2 linked regions of the Notamacropus eugenii genome follow. The protein of the gene in region 1 purifies or fractionates together with the protein of each later gene. This does not show direct contact. Links are inferred from orthologs where the notes say so. Each region holds a gene or a part of one and is shown on either strand. Other genes may lie near its edges.

Region 1 (10,794 bases):
CCTCCCACCCCATAGTTTTATTTTTTTAGATATCATTCCTTCCTATTCAACTCATCTGGTGCCCTCTGTCTAAATATATATATATATATATATATATATATATATACATATATATGTGTGTGTGTGTGTATAATCCCTCCAACTACCCAAATATTGAGAAAATTTTCAAGAGTTACAAATATTATCTTTCCAGGTAGGAATGTAAACAGTTCAACTTTTGTAAGTCCCTTACGAATTCTCTTTCCTGTTTACCTTTTCATGTTTCTCTTGATTCTTGTGTTTGAAAGTCAAATCTTCTATTCAGCTCTGGTCTTTTCATCAAGAATGCTTGAAAGTCCTCTATTTCATTGAGTGACCATTTTTTCCCCCTAAAGTATTATACCCAGTTTTACTGGGTAGGTGATTCTTCATTTTAATCCTAGTTCCTTCATATTCCAAGCCCTTTGATCCCTTAATGTAGAAGTTGCTAGATCTTGGGTTATCCTGGTTGTATTTCCACAATACTCGAATTGTTTCTTTCTGACTGCTTGTAATATTTTCTCCTTGACCTGGGAACTCTGAAATTTGGCTACAATATTCCTAGGAGGTTTTCTTTTTGGATCTCTTTCAGGAGGTGATCTGTGCATTCTTTCAATATTTATTTTACCCCCTGGTTCTAGAATATCAGGACAGTTTTCCTTGATAATTTCATGAAAGATGATGTCTAGGCTCTTTTTTTGATCATGGCTTTCAGGTAGTCCCATAATTTTTAAATTGTCTCTTCTGGATCTATTTTCCAGATCAGTTGTTTTTCTAATGAGATATTTCACATTATCTTCTATTTTTTCTTTCTTTTGGTTTTGTTTTGTAATTTCTTGATTTCTCATAAAGTCATTAGCTTCCATCTGTTCCATTCTAATTTTTAAAGAACTATTTTCTTCAGTGAGCTTTTGAATCTCCTTTTCCATTTGGCTAATTCTGCTTTTTAAATCATTCTTTTCCTCATTGGCTTTTTGGACCTCTTTTGCCATTTAAGTTAGTCTATTTTTAAAGTTGTTATTTTCTTCAGCATTTTTTGGGGTCTCCTTTAGTAAGCTATTGACTCACTTTTCATGATTTTCTTGCATTGCTCTCATTTCTCTTCCCAATTTTTCCTCCACCTCTCTTACTTAATTTTCAAAATCCTTTTTGAGCTCTTCCATGGCCTGAGACCATTGCATATTCATTTCAGAGGTTTTGGATGCAGAAGCCTTGACTTTCATGTCTTCCTCTGATGGTATGCGTTGTTCTTCCTCATCCAAAAGGATGGAAGAAAATGCCTGTTCACCAAGAAAGTAACCTTCTATAGTCTTATTTTTTTCCTTTTTTGGGCATTTTCCCAGTCAGTTACTTGACTTTTGAGTCCTTTGAGGGCATACTCTAGGGACCTGTAAGTTCTCAGTTCCTCCAAGGTGGCACAATCAAGGGAGAGGAATTTACTCCTCTTCTGGCCTGCACACTGGTCTGGGAGCAACCCAAAGTTTTTCTGCCCAGGATCTGTGAGTAGAATTCTCTCTCCAGAGCCTCCACCAGCTCCATCAGCCAGTGCTTTTCCTCACCCAGGAGCACCACTCAGGGCTGAGATCCAGATCAGTGGCTCAGTTTCCCCAGGGTCTTTAGGCCAAGGGCTCCAAAAATGGATGCTACTGCCACCTGGGGCTGCCTGGGGCTGGGGTTAGGGCAGGACTCTGCTCCCTGCTCACTGGGGTGAGCTTTCTCACAGACCTTGGAAGCTGTCTTTGGCATTAGTGGTTTGAGTAATCTGGGAACCACACCTGCTACCTGGGATTCTGCACCCTGAAGTCTGCTTCAGTTCTGTCCAAGCTGCATGTCCAAGTCTGGGCTGTGCTTCGTGAGCTGTGCTCTGCCCCAAGCCTGGTGCGATAGACCCTTCCTGTTGGCCTTCCAGGCTGTCTTGGGCTGGAACTCTCCTTCACTCTTGTCGTTTTGTGGCTTCTGCTGCTCTAGAATTTTCCGAAGTAGGATTTTTTGCTCTTTTTTCTGTATTGAATTTTAGCCAATCATGTGCCTTTGATTGAAACAATCAAGAATCTTTTATTTAAAACAGTATATATATTGTATTGCTTACCAGAAGAGAGAGAAGCAGAGATGACAGAGAAGCAGCTGTGAGCAGTCTAGGGGAGCTTGCTTGTGGGGATGCTTAGCAGAAAGAATGTTTGTGGTGTCAGTGCTCTGTCTGTTGATCTGTGTTAATTTCTCAGACAGAAGCCTTTTCTGTTGGTCTGTGTTGATATCTCAGACAGAGGCCCTGTCTGTTGGTCATTATGAGTGAATTGAGATGATGGCACTTGTAATATGTATGAATATTGTTATAACCCTTTTAAGTTTTGTTTTCCTAGAAACAGAAGTTGTGGGCAGGAGCCTCTGGAGCCTGCTATCAGGCAGAAGCAGAAGGAGTTTGGAGTGGAACAGTCCCTGTGACCTGAGACAAGGAGCAGGAGCACAGAGCTGCCTGCATATGAACCCAGGCAAGAGTTGGAAGTGGCCAACTCACACATGAAGAGCCATGGCAGTTGGAAGTCAGCCTCAAGTCAAGATGAGAGAGAACTTTACTTGAACACCGGGTATTGATTAAGAAGATTGTTCTTATAGTGACGTAGGGGTGTATGGTGTGATATTTTCTGCTACTCCTTAAGGATGCATTGTGCTAGGGAAGACCCAAGCCTGGGACCCTCTGACTTTGGGGATGTAATGGTAAATGCTATGTGCCATATGACATACTGAATGTTTTGAGATACATATATGTATTAGATGGTATGTTTTGCTTAAGGATGTTGGTATGAATGTTATGCTTTACTTTATTGAACAATGCTTAGTTTGTTGCTGAATAAATAGAGAGTCCATTATATTATTCGGTTAGACCCTTAAAAAATCATTCACAGCAGCTGTGTGTGCTCAGGTGTGCTGCCATGACTGGCTTTACAGGTATCTTCTCTTTTTTTGAGACTAAATTTGTTCTTATACTTTCATAATATTAATTTTGGATTATTTTGTGCTTGTTTTTTCCCATTTATATTGTTCAGTTAATTTGTATATTGTTTTCCTAGTCCTGCTTATTTCATTTTGCTTCAATTCATGTCAGTCTTTTCACACTTCTCTTTATTCATTGTGTTTATCATTTCCTACAGCACTGTAATATTTCATTATATTCATATACCACAATTTGTCTAGCCATTCCACAATTGATAGGCTTCTACTAGGGGTGGAGAACCTGAGGCCTTGAGGCCACATGAAGCCCTCAAGGCCCTCAAGTGTGACCCTTTGACCGAATCCAAACTTCACAGAACAAATCCCCTTAATAAAAGGATTTGTTCTATAAAACTTGGACTTAGTCAAAAAGCCACACCTAAGGACCTAGAGGGCTACAAATGGCCTCAAGGCTGCTTGTTCCCCACCTCTTTGCATCTACTTTCTTTTTGGTTTTGTGATACCACAAAAAGAGCTCCTATAAATATTTTATTTTATATAGAGCCTTTATTTTAGTTAATATCTTCCTTGAGGTATATGTCTAACAGTGGAATCTCTGGGTCAAAAAGTATGGACATTTTTTTTCTAATATGCCACCCTCCTCTCTTTCAATGGATGAGGTCATCCCATTCACTTTCACAGTTAAGATAGTTGTGTATTTCTCACTATCCTGTACTCTCTCCTTTCTTTGCCCTTCTATCCCACTCTTTACAAAGAATAAGGTGTGGAGAGTGGAGTGAGTTCCATACTAGGCACTTTTTTGTTGTTCAATTTGGGGTTTTCTTGGCAAATATGCTGGAGTGGTTTGCTGTTTCCTTCTCCAGCTCATTTTACAGATGAGGAACTAAGGCAAACAGGGTTAAGTGACTTGTCCATGGTCACAAAGCTAGTAAATGTCTGGGGCCAGATTTGAACTTAGGAAGATGAGTCTTCTCAATTACAGTTCTAGCACTACACTACCATACTAGGCACTAGGGATCTGTATTTAATGAAATTAGCTTTTGTTCCACTGGTCTTTTTTTTCCTCTTGCTTAGCCACTGATCACGTTTTTACAACTTTTTTTTCTTTTAAGCTCCACTTCAGAATCTGCCTTGTGAGGTTGGCATTTGTTTTGAGTATGGCTATCTACCCTGAATCTATCTTCTCCTCCCTCTTAATCCCCACTTTTCCTTTCTCAGTATTTCTACAATAAGCCCTCTGTGTGTGCACACATGTGTGTGTCTGTGTTTATGTGCATTTTCAGCCCTTCTTTGTCTAGTTGAGATAAAAGTAAAGTTCTACTTCTCTAGTGCATGCATAAGAAATGTTAGTCTTTCCTGGGACAGATATATTTTTAAATTGTCAGGATCCCTATGCCAAGACTATCCCTCTGTTTTTACTATTAGGAGACACCCTGTTGCCCAGCAAACTGTGCCCTGAGCTTGGCATAACAACCATCCTTTGTGCTCACCCTCTGGATGAACTCTGCTGCAGCAAAATCCCAGAATTGTTTCACATGAGCCCCAGCTGGTCTCCAAGCTTGAACAAGCACCTGCAGGAACCATGTTTCAGTCATGAAGCCTCTGCTAGGAATCAAATTTGTCTCATTGTTGCTGTTACCACCAAATTGTCACTGCTACTGTGTTGTCACTATTATATGTATTAAGGTTTGGCCTTGCTAAAGCAGCTCTCCTAGAGGAGGCCTTAGTTTTACCTTCCTACATGAAATACAGAAATCTTTTTGCTTATTAGCTCTTTGATTTTATTTTATTTTTTATTTTATTATTATTTTATTTTTCAGAGTTAACAGTATTACCTCTCTGAGCTCTTTGGTATTTTCCAGAGTTAATAGTAGTTGTGTAACTTCTATATTCTTTGGTCATTTATTTTCAGGGTTTGACAGGGTTCCCCATGCTGAGGTTCCTCCAAACTTCCAGTTCTTTCTGGATGACTCAATTCCTGAACCTCATCTTCCTCTTCATAAATGACCTCTACCAATGCCTCTTTCAGAATTATATGAAACTTAGGAAACAGTGGGAATGGAGAGCATCATGGCCATGACAGAGAATATTTGGGTCACCTTGGAAGAGTCTCTTATTCTCTCTAGGTCTCTGTTAACTGAGCTATGAAAAGGGAATATCACCAACTCTGCTTACCTAATACCTAGCATTTATGTAGTGCCTACTATGTGCCAGGTACTTGACAATTATCATTTGATCCTCACAGCAATGTTAGGAGGTAGGTGCTATAATTTTGTTCTACAGATAAGGAAACTGAGGTAGAGGTTAAGTCCAGGGTCACACTGTATCTGAGGTCAGGATTTTGAGAAAAATTACTTTTCTTATTACAGGAAGAACCAATTTTATATACAGGGCCCAAAGAGCCTCTCTTTTTCTCTTACTCATTCAAAGCCTAGCCTCTCAAGTACCTTTCTGACCTTACTCAAAAATTCACCCTACCAAAACCATCTTGTCTTCGTGGAATTCTAACTGTAAACCCCACTATTGTTCTACTCAGGTAGGACTGGCTGGAGAAGAGTCTCTTTGTCCCCTACATGATCAAAGTCACTACCCTTTAGAAAAAGTCCACCTCTCATTATAATATTAATTTTCTCATTAATTGTTAACCAGTCAGAGTTGACTTTGTCAACTAAGTGAAAACCACCCTTCAAAATGCAGAGACTTCCAAGCTGGGTTGAAAGCTGAAATTTTATTAGAAGGAAAATCATCCACTAGTTCTGAAGTCCCTAGTACAAGGTACAAAGGACCTCACAGCCCAAGAGTAGCAGGAGAGATTATGCTTGAAAACTACAAAGGAGAGGTTCAGGGGTAGGTTGGGAAAAGAACGGACAATCTTTCCCAGGAACAGGTGGACATACAAGCAATATGCTTTGCAGGAACTGTTGACTGCATGACTGGTTTGGACCAGTGGGGGTGGGGTGGGTCGGCACAATTCAGCAAGGTCAGTCAGCAACATCAATAAAAAGGCATCTGGGAGTGAGCCCGACTTTGGCTCACTGCAGGCTGCTGATTGGCTCCTTTTAGCAAAAAAGCTTACTTTGCGTCCAGTGCATCTGCATGGCAAGGTAACTCATAGAAAACAGACGTACTAATTTCAGGGCTCTTTCCACAATTTTCATCTTCAGAGACACTCCCTTTTCCAAGGATAATTAAACATTCAGCAGCCTCCCACTTGGGGAGGGAAAGGGTCTTTGGTTTCCCCTAGGACCACTGCCCTCAATTTATGTGACAGCCTAAATAATAAATTGATTATTAATAACCCAGAAACTCTTGTCTCTTGGGTTTTTCATTAGGCCTGGAGATGAATCCACTGAGTATCCACCTCACAGGGTTCTTGCATCACACATGAGATCATATGTGAAAATATTTTGTAAAGCGCCACGCATGTGGTAAGGATGCTAATTAACCTAACGCTTGGCATTGGAGTCAACCTTTAAGGTGCCCCAGGGATGAAGGCTGGCAACGATGGGTTCCACGTGGGCCTTCCCTGATTTGGCCTGAACGCCCGGGGCTGTGCCAATTCACCAGACAGCTCGGCCGCTTCCTCCAGGGAGGATGCCCCCAGGTTCCCCCCTTCTCCCTCGCATAGCAAAGGCACATCAAGTCAGCAAGGAGGTCCCCCTCCGGCCCCACCGCCCCTGCAGGTAAACTCAAGCCCCTACAAGGCCCCCACGCCGCCCTCTTCTTTTGAGCCCCGCCCTCCTTTCACGTGGTGCTTTCTTCCACGCAGGAGAGCGCATCATCCTTTTAGAAACCTCGCGAGATTTCAAAATCCACGAGCCGAAGGAGGAGAGAAGGGAGGGAGAAACCCAAGAAGGGGGCAGACGATTGGTGAAGACGGAGGGGGAGGTTTAACCCTCTGGTGTCGGGCGCGCATGTGCGTTGTTCCTCACGCTCTGGGAGCCCGGCGCTGCTTCCATACTGCTGTGGCTGCCTCCCCTCTGGACCACTCCTTCCCTGAGCTGCTTCTGGCGGGTCAGCACCCGGGGAGGAAGGCGCTCCCTTCCCCAGTGGGTGAGTGCCGGTGTTGGGTTAGAGTGGGGCTGGGACAGCTGGAAGCTGGAGAGGGTGTGTGTGTGTCTGTGTGTGGTGTATTTGGTGTAGGTTGTGGTCTTTGTGGTTGGGGAGGGGGGGGGTGTAGCTTGTTGTAGGTGTATGATCTTTTTGTGATGTGTGTGAGTGTGAAGTGGGTAATGTGTATATGGGTGTATGTGGTGTGTAATGGTATATGTGTGTATATGGTTTGTATGTTTGTGGAATGTGTGGGTGTGCTTTGTGTACCTGAGTATAGGTGTGTTAGTGTAGGTGGGAAACCAAATTGGGTGAAGGCTGATAAATGAAGTGTATAAATATATAGATAGAGCCATATCTCTTATATTATCCATCTGTCAGGCAGTGTTGGGAATTTGGGGGAAGCTTAGTGATCTTTGAGCCCAGGATACCTGGGTTCTTGTCTCACTCCTGCTGACAGGTGGGGGGGAAGGGGTGCAGGATGGTAACTGAGTCTCTTTTAACACTTTGTGTTATCTCTTCGGTATGGTAGTTATTTTGAGGCCAAGTGAAATTGTACCAAGTACTTTGTAACCATAAAATGCTACATACTTATAAGTATCTGCTACTCTGTCCTAATGAAAACTCTACTGGGCTGGGAGTCAGAGAGACTGACGAGACCTACTATTAAGTATCGGTGTGATCTTTGGCAAGACCCTTCTAAGCATCAGTTTCCTTATCTGTAAAAGGAGTCGTGATAGTCTAGATCAGGGGTTCTTAATCTGGGATCCATGAACTTTTAAAAATATTTTCATAATTGTATATTAATATAATTGGCTTCCTCCGTAATCCTGTGCATTTTATATTATACACTTAAAAGCATTGTTTTGAGAAAGGATCCATGGGCTTTGCCAAACTGCCAAAGAGGTCCCTACACACTCAAAAAAAGTGTATCTCAAATATCTTCTAGATCTAGCATTTTTAGATTATGTAGAAGAATGAATAGGGAAAAGTTCATTATGTGTGCTCCTCCTCAAGTTCTCATCCTGAGGCACATGGGATCCAATTTAGCTGACTCCTTTCCTCCCATGTATTCACAGGACACAGGAGCTATGGCCGAGAATGGAGAACCATGGGGAGCCAGTGAGGCTGAACTGGACCCAGTGGAGTACACTCTTCGAAAGCGGCTTCCCCACCGTCTCCCCCGAAGACCAAATGACATCTATGTTAACATGAAGACTGACTTCAAGGCGCAGCTGGCTAGGTGTCAGAAACTTCTGGAGGGTGGTGGAGGGGGTAGGGGACAGGGTGGCTGTCCTGAGATTTACATTCATGGCCTCGGCCTGGCCATTAATCGGGCCATCAACATTGCCCTGCAGTTGCAAGCGAGCAGCTTTGGGGCCTTGCAAGTGGCTGCCAACACCTCCACTGTGGAGCTGGTGGATGAGTTGGAGCCTGAGACTAACACTCGGGAGCCATTAACCCGAACCCGAAATAACTCGGCCATCCACATTCGGGTCTTCCGTGTTACACCCAAGTAGCTGGAACAAAGTTCTACTGTTTTCTCAGCTGGATAGTCATATCTTCCTCTCTAAATTTTTCTGGGCCATGGTTCTCGTTTTCATTTTTCATACTCTGGGCTTTCGGGGATCTCAGTTCCCTCCCCACCCTTCAGGATATTAGAGAGAAGTCCTGTTGTGGGTTTTTCAACTTTCTGCCACCAACTCTAGAGAAGGCCATTGGTTTAGGCTCCTGAAATAAAAAAGACTCTGTGTGAGGGAAAAGTTTATGTTCTGTTTCTTGTTTGGGCCTAAGTAGTGAGTTTTTTTTCAAAAGCCAGAATTTTCTGTATTTCTTTTTCTGACCTTTCTCTATCACTGTGTTACTGTCACTCTGTAGTCTTTCCCCCTATAGGGTTCCTGGCCAACATAAGGGAATGGGATGTTTCATTTCCTGTCTATGAAGCTTTCCTTTTGATTCACCATGTACTTTGCTTTGATGGATCCATATTTCCCCCCATTGCTTTCTCATTCTGCTTCATAAATCCTCCACAGATGATAAATTAATGAAAAAATATTGAATAAACTCTTACGATGTGCTAAATGCCAGGGACATAAAATAGAAAAGTGAGAGACTCTTGTTCTCAGAGTTCATTCACGGTCCAAGTAGGAGACATAGGAAAAGGGTTCAGCTGTAGTACACATGTAAAGACCTGGTCCTTAAGGTGCAGCAAGAGTGCAGATAATATGAATATACCTAACATGCTGGAGGCCTTGCTGTATCTCAGGAGTACTAATATATTAGTATTACCCATTACTTGTTATTCATTTTTTAAAATGATTGTGAACTAGAAAATCATGACCACTTCCATATACAAGGATGTCAAGAAAATGAGGGTTGTTATGAAACAGTCTTCTATGTATAATTTGTTCTTTTTAAAAATATATATTAAATTTAACATGGGAATACTAACACTTCCTGCTTGTCTGTGTCCACCTCTGAGCCCTATTCTTCTGGTTTCCTTATTTTTTAAATATATCATTCACCCTCTCTCCTCTCATCCTCCTTTTTTTCATGTTGTCTCATTTTTCCTCCCAATTCTTCCCTGCTTTTCTTTGTAACAAAAGTATAGTCAAAGTTATGGGATCACATTTAGACAAATTTGTCTTTACCTTTAATCTATTTTCTTCACGAAGAAGTAGGTGAGGGTCATGCTTCATCAGTCTTCTAGAGTCATGATTGATCAGTGCATTGATAAAAAGTTCTTAACTCTGCTGAAGTTGTTCTTGTTAATATTATAAGATAAAAATAGTTCTGGTTCTACTCATTTCACTGCATCAGTTCAAATTTTCCCAGGTTTCGTTTCCTTAGTAGCTTTTATCATCTCCTATTGTGCATTCATATACCCATAATTTGTTCAGCTCTCCCAATCGAGGAACATCCCCTTAATTTCTTTGGTATAACAAAAAGTGTTGCTATTAATATTTTTGTACATATGCATTCTTTTCTTTCTTTTCGGTATGCCTAACCCTAGCATATCCCTATGTCAAGTAATATGCATGGATTTTATTTCCAAATAGCTTTCCAGAATGGATGGATCAACAGTTTATCCATCTCATTTGTTGTCTGGCATAAAACTTGGCAAAATGGTTTCTGATTCCTTTACTTTGGGTATTGGCAGCAAATATTCAGTAAATGATGATCAGTAAATATTAATAATTCAGTTTTTCTGTACTTGTGCAGTTTTATGCCCTAATTTAATACGTGGACAGTTTAAAGAAAAAATGTCATGCACTTTATGTTCCCATTTAGTAATCATCATAGAGTTTCCATATTAACTTTTCTAAGTCTTAGATTCTTTATTATTTAAGTTTGTGTTAGATTTGCCCAAGACTGAAAGGAAGTCCTTAGCTAATTCCTGCTAATTTTTTTTCCTGCTAATTCGATTAATTTTTCTTTCAAATACTTAAATGTTGTGCCATTTAGTGTGTACCTATTAAGTACTGATATTATCTATGGTGCCTTTAAGTATAATTTTATTGTTGCCTTGTCTAAGATCATGATTGCTATGACTTTTTTAGAAAATTCCTGAAGCATAATAAATTCTGCTCTAGCATCCTGTTTTAATTCTGTATGAATATTTCTGTTTCAGGTACATTTCTTATAAACAACATATTGCTGAATTTTTCTTTCCAATTCCAATTTTTCTTTCCCATTTTTAATGAATGACTCATCTATTCTCTTCCATTTCATAGATAAGTTTATCCCTTTCATATTCACAATCATGACTGATGTTGT
Region 2 (8,759 bases), on another chromosome or scaffold:
GGCCGTGTGCCTGACCAGCTTGGAATGGTACATGGGGCCATTGGCAAAAAGCCTTCTTTGTCCAGATCCCTATAAAGTCCCCCCACCTAGTGTAAGTCCTCGGAATCTCACCCATGGAGAGGACGCTCTTCCTGGGACCACTTGCTCCCAATTCAGACCCGGAAAGCTGTATCCCGGGATTCCCCAGCTGACAAAATTCAGGTGTTGGTGCTTCCCTGAATTGGTGATGCTTTTCTATTTCCTCATATCTGTATTAATATTGCTATAATTATATTAGTACTAGGCTATATTAATTATTTCTGCTGTAGCTCTAAACTGTTCATGCCTGTTCTGTAAATCAATAAAATATCCAGCTTCTTCTTCTCAAATGTGCCTTATTGTAGGTGCGAATCTGAACCATAAATTTCCTTAATCACACACCTTCTAGGGCAGTTGTGAGAATCGAGATGATCATAAAGTGCTATAGAAATGGAAGTGATGGTTATTTGAGCACGATGGAGTTTGACCACTAGCCAAATGCCACTCAAACATTTTTGTTATGCAAACAAAAAGTCTCAGATGGAGGGTAGTGTTCCTTCTTCACCACCACAACTATGAGAAGGACATGTTCCTGTTCTTAATGTTGTACTGAAACTTCTCTGGAGGCTGAGCACAGCTGGGAGGCAGGCTGGAGTTCTCACATGCAGAATTTCAGTCCTGCTGCTCCGCTTCCATCTGCTGGTAAAAGGCCTCAGGAAAATATGAGAAAATGATGCTAGTAAACAGTTTCTCATTCTCAAAGCCCAAAGGAAAACTGCTTCCCCTCCCCCTTCTCCCCATAGCAAAGAGAATTTCTGCCTGGTCAATTAACCAACTCAGTGAACAGGAAGAGCAAAGATAAATGAAATCCACAGAGAACTGCCACCCTCTCCCCAACCCCTCAAGCCTGAATCATTCTCCTTCCCAGCTGAATCATTTACCAAACTGGAGAAGCGAAATCTTGTCATTTAAAGAGATCAGGACTGGGAGTTAGGAAATTGTGGTTTTAGTGGAGTCTATGCTACTTGTTTGTTCTATAACCTTGGAAGAGTCATTTCCCTTCCCTTGGCCTCTGTTTCTTTATCTATAAAATGGAAATGTTGAATTATATAGATTCATTAGAGATATTTTAAGGGCTCACATTGTAGGAGTCCATAAACACATGAACTTGAATTAGATCCTTTTCTTTCCCCTTCTCCCTTGTATCTTCTCTTGTGTTCATGAGTAGTAACTTGGCCAAATGTCCAGGAGGAAGAAGAGAGCTGGACAGTTTGTAAAGTCCTTCAAATCCTAGCCCCTTCCTACTTTCCCAGTCTTCTTATGCTTTACTCCTTTCCAAGAAATCTACCATCCAGTGACACTGGCCTTCTAGTGGATCCTCCTGACTCTCCATCTTCTCACTGGCTGTCACCCTGATCTGGAACACTCTCCCTCATCATGTTAGCCTCCTGGTCTCCCTGACTTCAAGACCCAGCTTATTGACTAATTGGCTGATAATCAGATGATATAGCCCTCAATGATGGAAAGTCAGCTGTTGTGTTTATTGAATATCTGCCTGTTGTTATATTATGAAAGTTAAACACGATTAGCATTTCTACTGTATAGAAGGGTTGGCTGGTCTATGCCTTCTGTCATAAATCCTTCTGGCCAGGGAGCCTGCTCTGCTTAGGGATAGCCCATGTATTTATGTGCTATATGGAATAATTGCTAGCATTTATATAGCATGTTAATGTTTACAAAGTGCACATATGTTATCTCATTTTACAATGATAACTCTTAGAGGTCCTCACTTTTCAGATGAAGAAATTCAGACTGAAAGTGGTTAAGTGACTTGACCAGGGCCATAGAGCTGTTAATTATCTGAGGCAGGATTCCAACTCAGATCCTCACAATTCTCTCCTTTGTGCCACCTAACTACCACTCTGGGAGCATCTTATATGGACATCAAGAAAAATATCCAGAAATGACTTTACCACTTCTTTGATCACTGCCCTTCCTTGAGGAAAGGTTATCACAGGAAAGGACTGATTCAAGTGTAGTACTCAGAGCCTCCTTGCATCTGGGCTCCAGAAAACTACTCCTAGTTTGTAGATCAGCATTTACACAAAACTACGACTTTACTTTTATTAGCTATCCTCTTCCTCTTCCAACTAAATAATATTTGCAAAGTACATGAGTGGAGTGCTCTTATAGAGTATTTTACATGTATTATCTCATTTGAGCTTCACAACAAGTCTGTGAAGACAGGACAGAGAATGCATTAGTTCCAAGTGAAGTGAAATTTGCTTAATTAAATGGCATAGCACAAGTAACAAGAAAGATTACTATATTACTAGTTGGGAAAGGATTAAGTGATTAGAAGACATATGTAGAGGGTCTGTCTGTCTGTGTTCGTCCTTCCTTTTCAAAGAAGACCGTGACATCAGAGAAATGATGGATAATTTGCACTTGACTTTGTTTTGAGTGAGGATCACACATCCAGGGAACAAAGGTGGCCAGAGAACATGCATGAAAAGTTATGGGCGTAGAACGCACATGGCTGGGGGCAACTCATGACACACCAGCGCCCTGCTGCCCCATTAGGGGCACATTTTTAGAGGATGATGAGAATTTAGAGATCACCGAAGGAAACGATTTAACGATAACTGGAAAAATGCTAGATACATTGTAGCATCGCAACTTGAAAAGTAACAGAATGAACCGGGCAAAAATATTTGTTATCAAGTCTCTTATAAGTCAAATAAATGAGCATTTAATAAGCACCTACTGTGTGCCTGGGATACACAAAAAAGCTAAAAGTCTCTGGTCTCGAGGAGCTCGACAAGTAGACAATTACGTACAAAAAAAAAAAAGGTATACACATTGTAAATGGGAGGCGATCGATCTCAAGGAGAAGGCCCACCGACCTCTCCCCTTTCGGCAGGAAGCCTCCCAGGGCCGGCGCTTTACCGTCTATCTGTCCGGCATAAAGCTTGCCTTGGGTAGATCTGTTTGCATGCACTCTCCCCCATTAGAGAGGGGGCTTCTCGGGGGCAGGAGGAGGCTCCGCGCAGGGCCGGGCGCACAGTAGGGCGTTTAACGTGTCCGCAGAATATCTAAGATACCCGGGACAACAAACTTCCAGAGAACAGACCTAAAGCCGGACCCCGCAGAAGAGGAGTCAAAGGGTGTGAATACACAGCTTCCCCAAAGAATTTCACACCAATCTACGGGGTCCAGACGGCCCTGGGCGTAAAGGCGCGAGGGCGGGCAGTGGCCATTAACCACTGGGCCCTTTAAATGTGGAGGAGTAGGCGTGGTGAGAGTCTCAGGGCACGTCAGAGGATGGCGGTCGCCGTGGAGATTGGCGCAGGTTGGTTACCATGGCAACCTACTCCTCCGGCGCCCAGTGCCCGGAAGGAAGTCTCCACGTTCCTCTAGTCTTCCGGCTCTTTAACGGTAAAACCCTGGGGAAGAAGCACATCCGTCTCGAGCTTGGCTTTCTTATTGGCTGGAGGCCGGCAGAGGCGGGTCTTTGTTCTGCGTTCCGCGCGAGAGTTTCCGTCTCGAGATTTGCGAGCTCCTCCCCTTTCTCTTTCGGGAAGGGGCGGGCCTGCGCATGCTCACTAGGAGGCGACCTGGAAGCTGAAGCAGGGCTTGTGGGAAAACTGCTGGAGCTGAAGAAAGCTTGTACTGTGAGTCGGCTCCGGCGCCTGCGGGGCTGCTGCTGTGGGGTGCGCGCTGTGCCCGGTGGGGAGGGAAGGGGACCAGGGTAGACAGTGACTGTCGTCTTTGAGGGCCGCGTGGCTCAGGCCCGGGGTTCGTTCTCACCCGGCCCGGGGCGGCCTTGTGACCGAGGGCAGCGGCCCGGCGCAGGGCGAGTGACCGGCGAGGCCCCAGGCTTGCGGGCCTACTCGGGCCACCCGCGCTTCCCACGCCGGCCGGGCTTGCGACTCAGCACACTTCATGTGTTCCTCCAGCACCACTTACATAGCGCTTCCTGCGTGCGGGGGGTGGGGAACGAGTGCACAAGCATTTATTAAGCGCCTCTTGTGTGCCAGGTACTGCACCAAGCAAAGGGCATGGGATGAAAAGCAAAAAAACCTAGCCCCTGCCCAAGGAGAACTTGCCTTCCGATACGGGAGATAACCTGGGAGGGAAACCCAACGTACGAAGTATATAGCTTCACTGTTGGCTTTACGTATGAACAAGACAGGCACGTGGCTTCCATCTGTTCCTGTCGTCTATGTACTTACACGCATAAATGTATGTGTGTATACACACACACATATACACATATATGTGCACGGGTTTTTCCCCCATGTCTCCTGTAGAATTAGCAGTAGAGAGAAGGTGTGCCTGTGGACACGACATACCGTCGTACGGACGGTAAGCTACCAGAGGAAGCTGTTTGGATAAGGAAACTCCAGCTTCTGGTGGCAGGTTTGTTTGTGATGGGCAGTGAGGAAGCCCCACAGGCTAAGAAGTACTAAAGGGCTGGAGAGTGGAGGAGTTTAAGAAGCCTCACCCTAGAGAGAGACCAGTTTTTTCCTGGGAGAGGAGTGTCAAGGAGATAATCCAGGCAAGTTGTTACTAGAACGTGGAGGAAGAGAACACTTTCACCTGGGGTGAGTTAAGGTCACTTCACTCAAGTTTCCTTAATCTTTAATGTAGAAGATTTACTCACGGCCCTCCCAGCGTTGTTTTTCCCTAGAGCTATTCCCTAGTTTGGCGTAGCACTTGGTCATTTGCATTTAAGAGTTGCTTTAACCTTTTAATTAAGTTAATTGCTTTAATTCGACCAGAGTACTGAGAGTAGGTACTGAATACCGTTTTATATTCTTTTCCAAAATCAAAAAAATAACTTGAGAAAAGGAAAACTCGTTGTCTGCCAGCCTCTCTGTGTCTGTAATTAGCAGAAAATAGAACCCAGGTTTCTTGACTCAGTTCCCATGCTCTTTCCATTATGCAGGCTACCTCTTAAATGTCTTGTTCGAAATCAAGGGCCCTGTGATAAATTTTATATGGAAGAATATAAATGTGTATACATACACGTGTTTGTGTGTATATATATATATACATATATGTACATATATATGCAAATATAATATACACATACACATAAATACTAGGGCTGGCCAGAAAGTGGGACTTGTGGAAGAAATGAAGGCAAGGCTTGCTTAACAGGTTTCAGGTGTCTTCCCCAGTCTTGAATAGTTTTTGATACAGTCCAATATCTTTTCTGGTAGTTAGTCAGCAAGTATCTCTTATGTATTAAGTGCTAGGCTTTGGCGATACAAAGAAGCAAAAATAATCCCCTTCTCTCAGGAAATGAAAGAAAGAATAAAAGGAGGTCTACCGCTTTTACAAGTAGAGCTAGATATTTACGCAGAGAAGCAAACATTTTTAATTTTGCTAATTTGTGTAGTTCACTGCAGTTTGTAATTTATATTTCAAATCATTTTCTGTGACTGATGTTTACAATTTTCATTGTGACTGAAAGAGTAATGCTAAATTTTAATGAAAGTGATACCCTGTTGCTTTAGAGAAAAAGTCTTCCACAGAGTGGCTATAAAAATGGGACTTTTAAAAAACTGGTAATTCCGGAATAAGACAACAAACAAGATATATTTGCTGAAAACATTTATTTTAAATAAGGGCTCCCAATTAATGTTAACTTTCTTTAATAGTTTTGGTGTCAAGGAACATTCGAGATGGCTGCAGCATCAGGGAAAGGATCGATACGAAAAGCAAAATCATTTACTGTAAAGACATCGCTAAATAACCCATATGCTATCAACTGGAGTACTTTGGAAAGAGATGATATGCACTTCATATTACACACACTGGAAGAAAGATTTAAACATGTTGGACTTCAAAAGATTGAGAATCCAAAGAAGAAAAAACAGCCTTTTTCAAAAAGACAAACCAAAGAAAAAGGTACTGTTGATAATGATGAAGTTCCAAAGCAAAAAGGAACAGAAATCAGCCAGAAAGTACCAGGATGGACTCCTGTACATATCAGGAGACAACTTGCTATTGGAATTAATGAAGTTACCAGAGCTCTAGAGAAAAATGAACTTCTTTTAGTTCTAGTGTGCAAATCTGTCAAACCTGCTATGATGACCTCCCACTTGATTCAGTTGAGCATCAGCAGAGATGTACCTGCTTGCCAGGTTCCTCGCCTTAGTGATAGCATCGCACCTGTTATTGGTTTAAAGTGTGTTCTAGCTCTGGGTTTCAAAAAAAACACCGAAGCCTTTGTTGACGAACTAAAAGCTATAATTCCCAGGGTACCTAGTTTACATGTGCCATGGCTTCAAGACAAAACTAAAGATTCCCTGGAAGATACAGAATGTGAAACTTTAGAAATGCAAGATACAAGTGTTTTAGAAACCTCCTTTGAAGAACTTACTAAGAATAAGCGGAAACTTGTTGAATGTCAGCAAGATACTTCTGCTGTAACTTTACAGCCCCTAAAAATAAAGAAACTGATTCCAAATCCCAATAAGATAAGGAAGCCACCAAAAAATAAAAAAAACACTGTAAAATAACGTGTGAAACATAATTTGTAAAACATTTTTCATAATTAAAACTAATTTCTAAAAATGAATTACTTTTACATGTGTCCTTGCTATATTATAGCTCATTAAATGTTCCTTGTTAAAAAAAAAAAAATGTTAGGGCACAAACGGATCTAGGTTTAAACCAGTATTTGAGTGCATCAGTTATTAAAAAAAACCTGAGTATAAAAACAAAAAATTATTAAATGTTCAAACTGATATAAATTCTTTTTAAGAGGCCAGTAAGATGCTGGTTTGTGAGAACATCTGTATTTCATCATACCTGTCTTTCAGTCAAAATCATCCTGCCACAGCAGATGTTGTTCTTAATCATAGTGCAGATAAAATTGCATTATAGCTGCATTATTCTTATCTAATATACTCAGCCATGAGAAAACTGGACTACAAATGGTCTTTTGGAAACAGTCCACTTAATCTTTAAATTTGGGGTATCAATTTGTATTGAATTTAGCTGATAAAGGAAATCAGTTGTCATAATTCATGCTTTGTACGTGTCTTAAAGTGGTTGTTCATTTTCTCCCTCTATCGTACATCTTGAGGTGGATTCATTTTTGTTAATTTAGGCTTCCATTTCATGAAGGACTTGTCGGGAAAAAAGAACACATGATTGCCTGGGAGAAAATGGGTTTGTATCATATAATGCAGGGAGGAATGGGAAAGCTAGACTTCATACTGCCAGAGTTAATTTCTTGGCCTAATTTTAGTCATTTTGCATAAAATATGGCACTTGTGTATATTCTAGATTAGATGGGAGGGGGAGTAATACTTTTAAATAAGAATTATAGGAAATTAGTTTAAAAATAAAATGAAAGGTTCCCGATGCCATAAATCTTAAATACATGAAAAACACATTTTCTTGTGGTATTCAGAGAGATATCAAATTAAAAAAAAAATCCAAAAATGTTTTTTGTTGCTGCAACTATTTCTGGAACAGGGTTTCATAACCCTGTGTCTGTACACTTACTTTAAAAAAAATTGCTGACTTTCAATGTAATTTGTTTCCTTTGTATTCCTATATATTTTATTCTATATATTTAAAAACATTCTTAGAAGGGGTCCCATAAGATTTATCTCACTCCTACAGGGGTCCATGACACAAAGGTTAAGAACACCCTACTTTAAGAATTTTTAAAAGGGAGCTGATATGTATTTTCTTATAGTTGGTTTATTTTCAGTAGTGAAAAACTGAAATGTCCAATGACATTTGGATAAATGATGGCTGAATAAATAATGGTATATTAATGTAATGAAACACTATGCCAAAGAAATGACACGGACAAAGAAATGAAATGCAAGGAGGCAAATATCAGTTGTCAAACTGATGTTCTACGGCTGTATTAAAAAAAACCTGAAAAGCCACAAAAGAAAACACCCAGGTGAATGAAGAAAGGGGGCATGTCAGTTTTTTATTTTTACAACTAATATGCAAGGAGTTTGAATTTTGATGTTCTTCCTGGAGGTCTCCTCTGTGTGTTGAGAGGGTTTAATAGTAAATTTCAAAGGTTCTTTTTGGGTAGAAATAATTTTTGGTTTTAATAGAGCAGAATGTTTTGGAATTATATGTGTTTTCAGACAGTGTGGTAGTTCCTTAAATTTTATGAAATATGTGGTAATAACTCAATACTCTTAGTCCTGGCTCTCACTGATCATCTGTGTGACCACCGTAGGTCACTTAACTTGTCAGCTTCTGCATTGGTTGAAGGAGAGTTGCATTAGATGTTGACTCTAGGTCCAAAGTTCCACGATTTCCAACCTTTTTTTTTTTTTTTTTTTTACTCAACATGGGTAATTTTACACAAAATTTGTTTTGGCATGTTTACTGACAGTACACTTAAATTGTACACAGGGATGGGATAGACATGAATGTCCTATTGAAAAAGGTGTAGTGTGAGTGCTTGATTTTGAAATAGCATCTGGTTAAAATTAAAAGAGGGTCAAAAATACTGTAACTGAGTAAGTAAAAGTGGGATAGTTTTACTTTAAAATAAGTTAATGCCAAAATTACAGTTCTCAAGAATAACTTTTTTATTCCCAAATAAAATCCATTCCCTAAATTAAAATATTTTAAGGGCAAAGTGGTTGTTTGGGAGAAAGAAAAACACTTTTTTTTTTGTTAGTTGCTTCTCTTTGAAGCCTTCCTCCAGCATAAATAAAAGAGATCCCTTGGGGGTAGTGTTT

What was found. The genes of interacting proteins can lie anywhere in the genome.
Region 2: the proteins of POP7 (region 1) and RPP38 purify together in Homo sapiens (co-immunoprecipitation; 3 studies listed by BioGRID and IntAct, with this or other methods). This does not show direct contact. The link is inferred for Notamacropus eugenii from reciprocal best matches to the Homo sapiens genes POP7 and RPP38.

Annotation. Positions count from the first base shown.
Region 1 is NC_092873.1:80,038,102-80,048,895, reverse strand, and holds POP7 (ribonuclease P protein subunit p20), read left to right. Parts: upstream 1-6,524; 5' UTR 6,525-6,650; intron 6,651-6,736; 5' UTR 6,737-7,020; intron 7,021-8,096; 5' UTR 8,097-8,108; coding exon 8,109-8,537; 3' UTR 8,538-9,468; downstream 9,469-10,794. UniProt on the Homo sapiens protein: Component of ribonuclease P, a ribonucleoprotein complex that generates mature tRNA molecules by cleaving their 5'-ends. Also a component of the MRP ribonuclease complex, which cleaves pre-rRNA sequences.
Region 2 is NC_092874.1:55,694,237-55,702,995, forward strand, and holds RPP38 (ribonuclease P protein subunit p38), read left to right. Parts: upstream 1-5,711; coding exon 5,712-6,551; 3' UTR 6,552-6,610; downstream 6,611-8,759. UniProt on the Homo sapiens protein: Component of ribonuclease P, a ribonucleoprotein complex that generates mature tRNA molecules by cleaving their 5'-ends. Also a component of the MRP ribonuclease complex, which cleaves pre-rRNA sequences.